Callithrix jacchus: one gene and its partners. The protein of the gene in region 3 binds, or shares a complex with, the protein of the main gene of each other region. Links are inferred from orthologs where the notes say so. Each region holds a gene or a part of one and is shown on either strand. Other genes may lie near its edges.

The links.
Region 1: GEMIN4 (region 3) and GEMIN2 share a complex: the UniProt entries of both Homo sapiens proteins name them as parts of the SMN-Sm complex. The link is inferred for Callithrix jacchus from reciprocal best matches to the Homo sapiens genes GEMIN4 and GEMIN2.
Region 2: GEMIN4 (region 3) and STRAP share a complex: the UniProt entries of both Homo sapiens proteins name them as parts of the SMN-Sm complex. The link is inferred for Callithrix jacchus from reciprocal best matches to the Homo sapiens genes GEMIN4 and STRAP.

Annotation. Positions count from the first base shown.
Region 1 is NC_133509.1:73,786,571-73,790,218, reverse strand, and holds part of GEMIN2 (gem-associated protein 2), read right to left. Parts: intron 2,044-3,648; coding exon 1,930-2,043; intron 1-1,929. UniProt on the Homo sapiens protein: The SMN complex catalyzes the assembly of small nuclear ribonucleoproteins (snRNPs), the building blocks of the spliceosome, and thereby plays an important role in the splicing of cellular pre-mRNAs.
Region 2 is NC_133510.1:7,411,013-7,414,660, forward strand, and holds part of STRAP (serine-threonine kinase receptor-associated protein), read right to left. Parts: intron 1,979-3,648; coding exon 1,842-1,978; intron 1-1,841. UniProt on the Homo sapiens protein: The SMN complex catalyzes the assembly of small nuclear ribonucleoproteins (snRNPs), the building blocks of the spliceosome, and thereby plays an important role in the splicing of cellular pre-mRNAs.
Region 3 is NC_133506.1:63,630,081-63,634,451, forward strand, and holds the start of GEMIN4 (gem-associated protein 4), read left to right. Parts: upstream 1-1,447; coding exon 1,448-1,910; exon of another isoform or gene 1,911-3,373; coding exon of another isoform or gene 3,374-3,506; exon of another isoform or gene 3,507-4,371. Other genes in the region: diazepam-binding inhibitor-like 5, read right to left, coding at 524-787; uncharacterized protein LOC118153659, read right to left, coding at 864-982, 1,242-1,449. UniProt on the Homo sapiens protein: The SMN complex catalyzes the assembly of small nuclear ribonucleoproteins (snRNPs), the building blocks of the spliceosome, and thereby plays an important role in the splicing of cellular pre-mRNAs.

The DNA of each region.
Region 1 (3,648 bases), on a different chromosome or scaffold from region 3:
AAAGCTAACATTCTCTTTTTCTTTAAAATTAATTTATTATTATTTTTTTATTTTTTAAGATGGGGTTTCACCATGATGGCCAGGCTAGTCTTGAACACCTGACCTCAGGTGATCCACCCACCTTTGCCTCCCAAAGTGCTACAATTACAGGCTTGAGCCACCGTGCCCAGCCTAAAGCTAACATTCTCAAGAATTAAGGACATTTCAATTAAAATGACATTTTAAAAATCTAATTTGATTCACATTTTAAAAGTGTACTTTGGAGTCTGAGGCTGTAATTCCTAATTATGAAAATACCATTGATTTGTGAGAAACTTAAGAGGATATACATTAACTCTTAAGGGTTTTTTTAAAATTTTAACATGGTATATTTTACTTGCCTGTATTCTCTGAAAATAAGCTAAATAAGGAAGTTTTAATTCTTTATTAAATTAAAAATTATTTTTGGTCAGCCATAATGGCTCATGCCTGTAATCCCAGCAGAAGGACTGCTTGAGCCCAGGAGTTCCAGGCCAACCTGGGCAAAATGGCAAAAACGTATCTCTAAAAAAAATTTATAAAAAATTTTATAAAAAATTAAAAATGTTTATATTAGTAAACTTATCTCTACAAAAAATTAAAAAATTAGCCAGGTGTGGTGGTGCCTGCTGTCCCTGCTATGTAGAGGGCTGATGTGGGAGGATTGCTTGAGCCCAGGAGGTTGAAGCTGTAATGAGCTATGACCTATACCACTGCACTATAGCACAGATGACAGAAGAAGACCCTGTCTCATCAAATATATATATATAAAGAAAACCATTTTTGAAATGTAACATATATTAAGGATATCATCCAAAAGATCAATTGGTTATATAGAAACAGTACCAAATTACCTTCCCTAAGATTGAGTCTATTTACACTCCTGTACCATGTGTAAGAAAGAGTGCCTGTTTTCCCAGCTCTTGTTAATATGGTGTATCAAACTTTCTTTGCCAATACGTTACCTGAAAAATAGCACCTTGGCATGGTTAGGTTATGCTTCTATTACAAGTGATTTTTGGCATCTTGTCATATAAGAATAATTTTATTTCCTTTCTGTGAGGTATCTACATCCTTTGCCTGTTTTTTCTTGGGCAGGGGAGGAGTGATTTTTGTTTTTTTTATTGATACTTGGAGCTCTTTCAATCTTTGGGAAAAATTAGTATTAAATGGGAAAAACACAATGTGGCATCATATAGCAAATAATAAATACCTGTTGAACTGAAGAGAACAACATGATATAGAGAGTAAGCACTAATGCAGAGGCACACACTGGATTCTAAAGGAACACCTGCAAACTTGGGGACAGGCGAATCCTAAAGGACAAGGAGTTGGCTCCATAACTTATGATTAAAGCCATGTGAATTTTAAACATATCCTCAACATTTCATCTTCAAATTATGTGATTTACTTTATTTTTTACAAGCCCATGAAGTGATAAATGTGATTATGTGTTTTAAAGCGCCTAATTGTGTCGTTTTCCATTTTTTTCATGGCTACTCATAACATTGTTTGCCCAATGCCTCATCATTTTAAAAAAACCTGAATCTTATCCAACTCATAAAATGATATATAGCCAAATATAAGGGATATGAAGTGAACCTAAAAAAAGTCACGGCTGTTTTGTTAGGAGGAAGAGCTATTAAACTAAGTCTGGGTTGGCAAACATTTTCTCTCAAGAGTCAGACAGCAAATATTTTAGGCTTTGCAGGCCACATACAGTCTCAGTCACATATTATTGGTTTCTTTTTTACAACTCTTTAAAAACCTAATAACCATCCATAGCTCATGGGATATATAAAGAAGGCCAAGGACTGGACTTGGCCCAGGATGTAGTTTGCTGACCCCTTATATTAAGTGATGCACCAAAATTAAAATGCTTTTTGTTCTGTTTATTGACATAGCCCTTACTTGTACATAATCTATTCCAGGACTTTCATTTGTGGCTGGTCCAACAGCACCGTCAGCACATAACTTCTCACCCAGACAAAATTTCTTCCAGCCTTCTTCATCTTCAGATTTTGGCTGAAAGAAAAAAAAGATAAAAACAAAAACAGATTTATTCCTGTGTATTAATTTTTACACAGAACAGTAAACAAAATAAGTTAGAGTCTCCCATATTCCCATTACTTCAACCCAAAGATAGGGTGCCAGTTACGGGGAGAATCTCTGTCCCCAAAATTTGTAGGGTTTTAAAACCCTAACCTCCAGTACCTCAGTATGTGACCGTATTTGGAGACAGAGCTTTTAAATAAGTGATTAATTTAAATTGAGACCATTAGGGTCAGCCCTAATCCAATCTTACTAGTGTCCTTGTAAGAGGAAATGTGAACTCACAAAGAGAGAACCAGGGACTCTCACACACACAGAAAAGAGGAGAAGGTGGCCATATGCAAGCCATGGAAAAAGCCTTAGAAGATACCAACCTTAGGTTGGGCATGGTGGTTCATGCCTGTAATCCCAATACTTTGGGAAGCTAACGTGGGCAGATCACCTGAGGTCAGGAGTTTGAGACTAGCCTGGCCAACATGGTGAAACCCTACCTTTTTTTGGTACTAAAATTACAAAAAAAAATGAGCTGAGCATGGTGGCGCGCACCTGTAATCCCAGCTACTCGGAGGCTGGGGCAAGAGAATCGCTTTAACCCAGGAGGTGGAGGCTGAAGTCAGCTGAGATCATGTCATTGCACTCCAGCCTCGGCAACAAAAGTGAAACTCTGTCAAAAAAAAAAAAAAAAAAAGAAGAAGAAGAAGAGACCAAACTTGCTGCCACCTTGTTCTTGGACTTTCAACCTTCAAGACTGTGAGAAAATAAATTTCTGTTGTTTAAGCCACCTAGTCTGTTACGGCAGCCCTGGCAAACATATTGCCTAAGTGGCTATACAATATGTGGGACATGTTGTTTTTTCTTATTTTATTATTATATTTTTTGAGTCAGGGTCTTCCTCTGTCACCTAGGTTGGAGTGCAAAGGTATGATTACAGTTCATGGCAGCCTGAATCTCCCAAGCTCAAGCAATTTTGCCACCTCAGCCTCTTGGGTAGCTGAGATTACAGGCACGTACCACCACGCCTGGCTAATTTTTAAATTTTTTTGCAGAGATAGTTGTCTCAACTATGTTGACCAGGCTGGTCTCAAACTCCTGGCCTCAAGCAATTCTTCTGCTTTGGCTTCCCAAAGTGCTGGGATACAAGTGTGAGCCACTGTGCCCAGCTAAGATGTGTTTAGTTTGGACCAGACTAATGGACACTGACAGATAAGGGTGTGTCCAAAAGAGAATGATAAAGACAGAAACAAGTACGGGGGAAAAAATGCACCAAGAATGCTTAATGGAATGAAGGATGTTTATCTCATATACAGAGACATGATTACATATTTGACATGTTTGAAGGGCTGTCCAATCCAAGAAGAAACAGATCTACTCTCTGCTGCCAGACAGAAAAAGCAGGACTAGTTGGGAGAAGCATTCAGCTCAATATAATCTCCTTAACAAAACAACTTTTATTTGTACCTATCACCTTGCACATTACTCTGCATTGGTACATTCCCCCCTCCCCGGGAATAAATAGCTTTCATTAAATCCTCAGCATGGATCACCTGAGGTCAGGAGTTCGAGACCAGCCTGGCCAAT
Region 2 (3,648 bases), on a different chromosome or scaffold from region 3:
ATTAATATGGTAAAAAAAAAAAAAATACTGTCTGTGTTTCTGGGGAGATGAAAAATTCTTAAGTACAAACATTAAAAACTTTACTTAATTAAAAATAATTTCTCATCACAAAAGTGGTACATCATTGACCATTTCTCTGTAAGATTACTCCTTTCCAAATCTAGCACACATTCTAGTTGCAGTGTCTCTTTAAAAAAGCAAATGAGGCTTCATGTCTCATTAAGAATGGAGAAAAAGAGACAAATGAACACCCTATACATTCTATAGGAAGTAGATTTAAATCTTATAGTTCAATCTCCAATTTCCTAAACTAACTGCCTATTTCTCAGAAAACCAATTTTTATCATGACTCTGGAGAGCCACCAGATGGAGCTCGTTCACACACTTTGCCTCTTGATTTCCTACCAGGCTATCTACAGTCCACTGTCACACAGAAAGGTGAGATACAGGATCAACACTGATCCATAAATATTTTAATCTATGGAACCTAACGAGAAAATGTACACATTAGGAGCGATGTTATATTCAAGTAGTACCTTTATGTATGAACCTTTCTCATTTACTTCCTAATGCCTCATCACCTAACCAGTTCTCAAAGCTCCTTACTGGACCAACGTTCCTATTCGGTCTCCGATCTCTGTCCAACCAGAGAATAGAAAAGTTGCAAGAGTAGAAAGAACACGGGTTTTGGAAAGAAAAAGGTTGGGCAGGTCTGGTATTCACTGTGACTTCAGATCTCAGGCAAATAATAATTTAGTTTTCTCATCTTGAAAAAGAATAAAATACGGAACCAAAACATTCTAAAGCTTTGAAAACCGGCATTAAATAAAAGTAACAGAAAAGAATATCTTATTTATAAGTCACTCGTATTCAAGCAATAAAAGCTGAACTGTAAGCAATTAAAATAGATTCCACACGGTCCATCACCAAGGTTCCATTTGTGCAACCCAGACAAGTCAATGTTCCCCAAGAAACAAAACACAAAAAATTGTCTTTTGTTCTTTGTGTATAATTCTAGCAAGCTCAGTTCTTTGAGTGGTAAAGCAGGACAGCTAGAAACAGATAAGAACAAGAAGTGACAGCTTATAGACAAAAACACATATTTAGAAAAGCTAAATATATTTCTTAATTAAAAGCAAAAACTATCTGGGAAGGCTAAAAGTAGACACTGAGAACCACATGTAACTAACTATGTGAAATATCTGGTCCATCAGATAAATATCTGTTAACTTCAAACTAATCCGCAGGCCTTTTCTTTCCCCTTACAAAGGACTACTATAAAAATGAAAGCAAAACTGAACCCCAAAATAGAATAAAATAAATAAAAATCAGAAAAATAACTCTCCAATTCAGATTCCTAAAGGTATCCCTGCAATATGCTATAGTGGTTTTTCCCCCACACACTGTTCTTTATAGAGTCTTAGGGATTCCTAAGTTGGCCAAAAGGAAGATGGGCCAAGTAGACGGGGTTACATACCAACAACATACCTCAGAAACAGTGGATCTCCTTGCATCTGTTTAACATGCGATTTGACATAAGATTCCCCCCTCCCTCCCAGCCAAGAAAGCCTAAAAATCATGGTACTATAATGCATAATATCAGCATAATGATGAACTTCAGTTAGAAGGACAAATTTCTGCATACTTTGTTTACAGATAGATAAAAGCATCTAACCCAAATGGTTAAAATTCCTTTACTTTTTCACTTATAAGCACCAAGCATTAAGTTGGCTGAAAACTGGCTTTCAGCATGTTATATAAATGAGGTGTTAATTACTGGAACTTAACATATGATAAAGGTCATCACATCACTGTAAGGGAGGACACAGAGAACAACTCACCTAATTCTTCTCCACTATTATAATCATACTTATAAAGTTTAAAATCTTCACCACCTGCAACAAGAAATTCTTTCTCAGGATGAAGAGAGGCAGAATTGATGGTTGCAGGAGCTTCAAAGGATTTAATTGGGTCCAAACTGAAAAAAAAATTAAGTCGTATTTACAAATCTTGAATATTGTATAAATAATACGAGAAAATAATGAGTTATTTAAACGATTCTTAAATTCTGAAATCCAAGGAACAATTAAATATACATTTACTCAAACATAAACACTGATATAAAAAAGCTCTATTAGCAAAACAAAAATTCAGATGTATACTATGCCCAAGTGGAGCTCATCTCAGGAATACAAAGACATTTTGAAGGAGAGATACCCAGTTTATGCAGTGAACGTCTTCTTGGAAATGAGTGCTGGCTAATTAAAACAGTATGAGTAATACATTGGGCTTTTTGCTTTTAAATAAATTTCACCTATATTGTTTCGTTTTTCTACAAGCACATATTATCTTTGTAAGTAGAAAACGTTTTCACAGTAGATAATGAATTAATATAGAGGATTATTTATATATTATTATCAACTGCTTAGGGTTTAAGCTCTTCAGCAAGATAAACTTTCAGTGTCATAAAATTTAAACTGCTAAAAAGTTTTTACTATAAGCCAATAAAAAACTAACAAAATTTGGGGCTCTAGTTACATAACAAAAATCAATGCACAATAATAGCTTCATCTTAAAATTAATTACAGTCTGGACATTAGCTCTTTTTCAGTTTAACCCTAAAACTCACGAAAGGCCTCCAATACAAAGCATTATAGTAACCCAGCTCCTAAATGTTTCCCATCATCATATACTTTAAAGCACGATAATTAAAGTTAGTCATGACTTAAGCAGGATCACTACATAACGAGGTCTGGCTCAAATGCTGGAATATTCAATGTGCCAGAAAACTTCTGCCACCAACATGGGATTTGTCCAACTGCAGAAGTGAATGAACAGCATTAATATACCAATTGACAGCTCCAGGCAACAGTATTCTACTATTATCAGTTCACTCTATGTGTACAAACTCCTTGACATTCTTAATTGCTCTCCTCCAGTTTTACTGCCTTTTCTTTCCTTCTCCCAGTTTAGTGAAGTTTAACTCTGCAAGTAGCCCCTTAAACACACGGTTAAGACACTGGTCAAATACCAATCAAAGTGTAATGTGGTATAATCTTTACGGAAATCAATTAAGTGTCATGTGTAACTAAGAACTTTAAACCCATTTCTACCCTTTGAACTGATAATTCTACTTACAGGATCCTATCTCCTGTGAAGAAACACTCAGAGATGTACCAGGGCATTCACCACAGTACTAAAATAGGGAAACTAACGCATAATTTAAGACAACCTATAATGCAATATAGTGTATCAACTAAAAATGTTTTCTCAGAAGTTTTAAATAGCTAATAATATTTTTAAATTAAAAAATCAAAATGACATTTATTATGGTCCTAGTAATTAAAGAAAAACACACAAATACTGTATACCCACATACATAACATAGAAAAAAAGACTAGCAGAAAATATAGCTACCATTAACATTCTTGCACCTATGGTTATAATATTGTGAGTACATTTTTTTCAATTGTTATATCGTCCAGTCTTTCTACAAGAGTATTTACTACATTTAAAGTTGCAAAATTTGAATCTCTTTAAAAAAATAATTAAGTCTGCACATAGGAATAGAAATAAGATTATTCCTTCTCTAAAATTTCAAGGCAAAAATAAATAGTGGAATCAAGATCACACTGTTCTGTTTTTTGA
Region 3 (4,371 bases):
ATTTTGACACCATCGGCTCTGTTGTTTCTCAGCTGCTGTTTTCTGAAGTCTCAGTTGCCTCACCACATTATCATCGGGGAAAGTGTGGTCTACCTAGAACATAAACTTCCTAGGCCCTGTGTTCCAGTGGGGGTTTCGGTGTTTAGGACAGAGTCCCTTTCCCCTCTGTAGTGTTGGGTGTTCATTAATCACTCTTGAAGAGGTAAGGGGCTGGGCCTCAGCCTCCCCAGAGGCCATCAGTGGAGAAGGGTCTCGCTGACCTCAGATCGTGGGCATTTCCACGGCACACCATCCCTCCCAGTACGCTCTAGCAATAGGAAGGCTGGGAACGCCACCCAAAGCCACACCGTTTTTGCGGTCTGTGTATTTGGACGCCTCCCCAGCACCCAGTCAACGAGTTTCTTTTTCCACAGCAGTCAGTCACTCTCGTGCAGTGTCAGTGATTTATTGGTGTTTCAGCTAACCCGGTTACTCTCCATTTCAGCCATCAAGGTCTAGGGAGCCACTCCATTCCGAGGAGCCCTCAGCCAGCCTCCTTCCTGGTCAGCTCCTCCACTTTGGCCACGTAGGCCCTCATGGCGTCCATCCTGGACAGCCCTTGGTTCGCAGTCCACGCCTCCCACTTGGCCTTGGCTTTCAGGTCAGAGGCGGGAGGCGCGGGGAGGTGGCAGTCGCCCCGGGTGGCCTGCTTGTACCAGCCGTAGAGCAGCAGCTTGTCCTGGTCGCTCAGGGGGCCCTTCAGCTGCTTGAGGGCGGTGCGCGCCAGCTCGAACTCCACTTGGCACATGGGGCGGGAGGCGGCCGGGCCTTTCCGGGCGATCCGGGTGCTGGAGGCCGGAGGTGGGGAGGTAAAAAGGCCGGCGTCAGACCTCCAACTCGGGGGCAGGGGACGGGCGGCGCGTGGAAGAACACGCAGAGTCTGTATTTTCTTCTCCGCGACTGCAGGCCCGGGAGCCAGTGTCTGGGTCTGTCCACGATGTTTCTGTGGAGGAGCAGACGTGAGAAGCGCCTCCGGTCCCAAACGCGGCCGTCCCAAGGGGGCGGCGCGGCAGCGGCGCGCACAGAGTGCGAGCGTAGGACGAGCTGGGCGGGAGGAAGCCGCGCGTGGGGAGGCCGCGCTGGGTGGGGGCGGACAGTGTGCGGGACGCGCCCGGGGTCACCGGATGAGGGTGAATGCGGAGCCGGGGCTCAAGCCGGACGCACTGGGACCCGGAGGCAGGCCCGGGAGCAACGCCCGATACCTGACGGACGGGAGGCCTCTGCGAGGAGGCGGTGCTGTGGCTCTGCGCGCTCCTCCGTGAGGACTGCGCTTGCGCGGGGGGCTATGGGCGGGGACTGAGCACGGCCGCCGTGGCGCCTGCGCCGCCCATTGTGCCGTGCGTTCGTCGCCGCGCCCGCGTTCTCTGAGAGGGAGAGCCAACCCCGCGCAACCGCCCGCGTCGCTACCATGGACCTAGGTGGGTGCCGCGCTCCCTGCCCGGGCTGCGTCCCTCCACGCGTCAGCAGGGCGGTGCTCCCTGGCGCGTCTCCTCCCGCTGCGCGCACTGATGGGCCCAGGCGGAACGTCCTCCGCGTCGGGGCGGGTCTGGGGTTCCGGGTGGCTTTGGCTGGGGACCCGGGCCCGGCCTCGGGAGTCGCGCCGCGGAGTGAGGGTGGAACCCTCTGGGCCGGCGCACGTGCTATGGAAGCGCGGCTCCTTCAGCGCCCGGACTGCCGCGCTCCTGAAAGGCGCGTGTCTCCTGTCGTCCGGCTTCGTCTCGGCGGAGCGGGAGGGGGACGGTGCGTCTGCCCCCGAGGGCTGCGCGACTCTCCACGGAGGCCGCGGGCGTCCAGGTCCCGCGCAGAGTTGCCGGGGCGGCTGCGCGCCTCGGAACCGGAGTGGTCGGGGCCAGGCCCGGAACACGGAGCAGGTGGGCGGGCGTCCGGAGAGCTGGGGCCGCGGCGCTTCGGCACCAGCTCTCGGGAGCGGAATGGCGTCCGGGCACCCTGAGAAAAGCGTTTCTGCAGCTTCGTGTTCGGGCCTTGAGCGGGAACGGCGTTGTCAAGGTGGTCGTGATGCGTGAGGTCTCGCATGTGACCCGGCGCGGGGCTGGCGCGGTGAGCGCGGAACCACCCGGTAGCCCTAGCTCTTGGCTCTGGCGCGCGCTGGGCGCCGTTCCTGACCGAGCGCCGGCGGGTTTTCCAGCCGTCACTGCCCTGGCGCTACTGCTGCAAATGCGGCGGACTGCCTGCGTTTGGAAGGCGCGCGTGGATGGCCAGACATTGGCCCAAAGAAGCTGATAACGCAGTAAAATTAAATTTGCAGCGCTAGGGGGGGCCGCATTTTGGGGTTTGGGCGAGCCTCCTGACGGTAACCCTAGCGAGATCCCTCTGCAGCCTCGGCCTCAGCCACTGTGAGCTGAGGTGGATTTTCTCCGCAAATGGGTTACATGGGAGTGCTGAGCGCTGGGCCTGTGGCTGCTCCCACACATGGTGGCAAGGGCAAGACAGTCCTTAGTCTCCTGGAATCCGTGTTATCTCTGCTGATGTCTGGCCTGTAAAATGGAGACTGAGCTCTCAGGGGCATGAGAGACTGAGGAAGAAGCATCTCTTGGTCCTAGAAAAGGGAGAGGACTCAGGAGTGGGGAATAGTGAGCAGTGTCTATCCTGGGAAAGGGAGAAGACTAGGGAGTGAGGAATGGTGAGCATTGTCCCGATCCTGGGAAAAGGAGAGGACTCAGAAGTGAGGAAAAGTGAGCAATGCTTGTACCCTCGTTTTACTTCCTGGGCCAAAGGAAACATACCTGATAAAAACCTATGTCCTTTGATGTTTCTGAGCTGGGGCAGGCAAAGAACAGTGACAGGGTTTTGATCCTGCCAATGATGAGAAGGTTTGGGGAAACCAACATTGACTGAGCCCTGATCAGGCTCTGTAACCTGATTCTTAGTGTAGCTGTATCACATTTATCCATCACAGCGTCTCCAGGAGATGGGGTCAGGAGATAGCAGTACTAACCCACTACCAGGGGCTTGACTGGTATGCATCATATAATCCTCAGAGTCGTAACAAGAAGTCTGTATTATCCCCAAAGCTGCAGAAGGAAGGCTTGGAGAAGCAATCTGACCATGATCACATCCCTTACCCACCCCCCTTTTTTTAGGGGTCTGGGGGGGTCTCACTATGTTACCTTAGCTAGTTTTGAACTCCTGACCTCAGGGATCCACCTGCCTCAGCCCCCCAAGTAGCTGGGATTAGAAGTGCTAGCCACTGCACCCCTGGCCAGAATCACATTACTTTTAAATGGCTGATCTAGGAATCAAACCTATGTTTGATTAAACATCCCAAGATGTAAGTCTGTCAGTTATTCCTTCTCTGCAGGAAGGACTTAATTTAATGAAGTATTTTCTGTATCTACTCCCTGGTTTCTCCCACAGAGCCTGGGCCATGAGTAGCTTGTCTTTGGAAGGAGCTGTGGGGTGGACTGTTTCCCTGAAAGGTAGAACAATGTTTGAAGCCTGCTCCCAAGGCAAGGTTATGAAGGGCGAAGGCAGGGCTTGTCTGATTGCTTCTGTGCCCATTACCTGTGGCCATGTGATTGCTTCAGTGCTCATTACGCTATGGCTGTGTGATGGCTGCTGTGCCGTTACCCTGTGTCTGTGTGATGGCTGCTATGCCCATTACCCTGTGGCTGTGATTGCTGTTGTGCCGTCACTCTGTGGCTGTGCCCATTACCCTGTGAATGTGTGATTGCAGCTGTGCCCATTACCCTGTGGCTGTGTGATTGCTGCTGTGCTGTTACTCTGTGGCTGCATGATTGTGGCTGTCCTCATTACCCTGTGGCTGTGTGATTATCACTCTTCCCCCTTCATCTGTCATGAGAAACTCAGCTGTCATGTCCTGTGGTACATGCTCAATAGCTCTGTCGTTTGTACTGTCCTCGTGCTATTTCTGAACCTCTCTCCCCACATCCTCCTCTGGCCCATCCTTTGCTGAAGGGTTTGCCCTCAGCAGCCCAGCTTGTTCTTTTTACTTTTCCTGAGGGATCTCATTCTCTCTTGGTTCCGGTGATCCCCTTCTGGGCACATGCCTCTCAGAGTCACATTTCCCAGCTGACTTACCCCCTGAACTTCCACCCGGCATTGCAACTGCTGAAGGACATCTCCTCGATAGCCAAAATCCAGAATCACATTTCCCAGCTGGCTTTTCTCTTCAACTTGCATGGGGCATTTCCACTGCTGGAGAACATCTGTGCCTTGATAGCCAAAATCAAGCTTGTCTCTTCTCAAACCTGTTCCGATTCTCCTCCTTCCCTGTATGTGACGCCACCCGGGGTCCTCCCAGTTCCCACTCTAGAGAGCTTGGAAGTCATTCTGGATTCCTCAGCTCAGTCC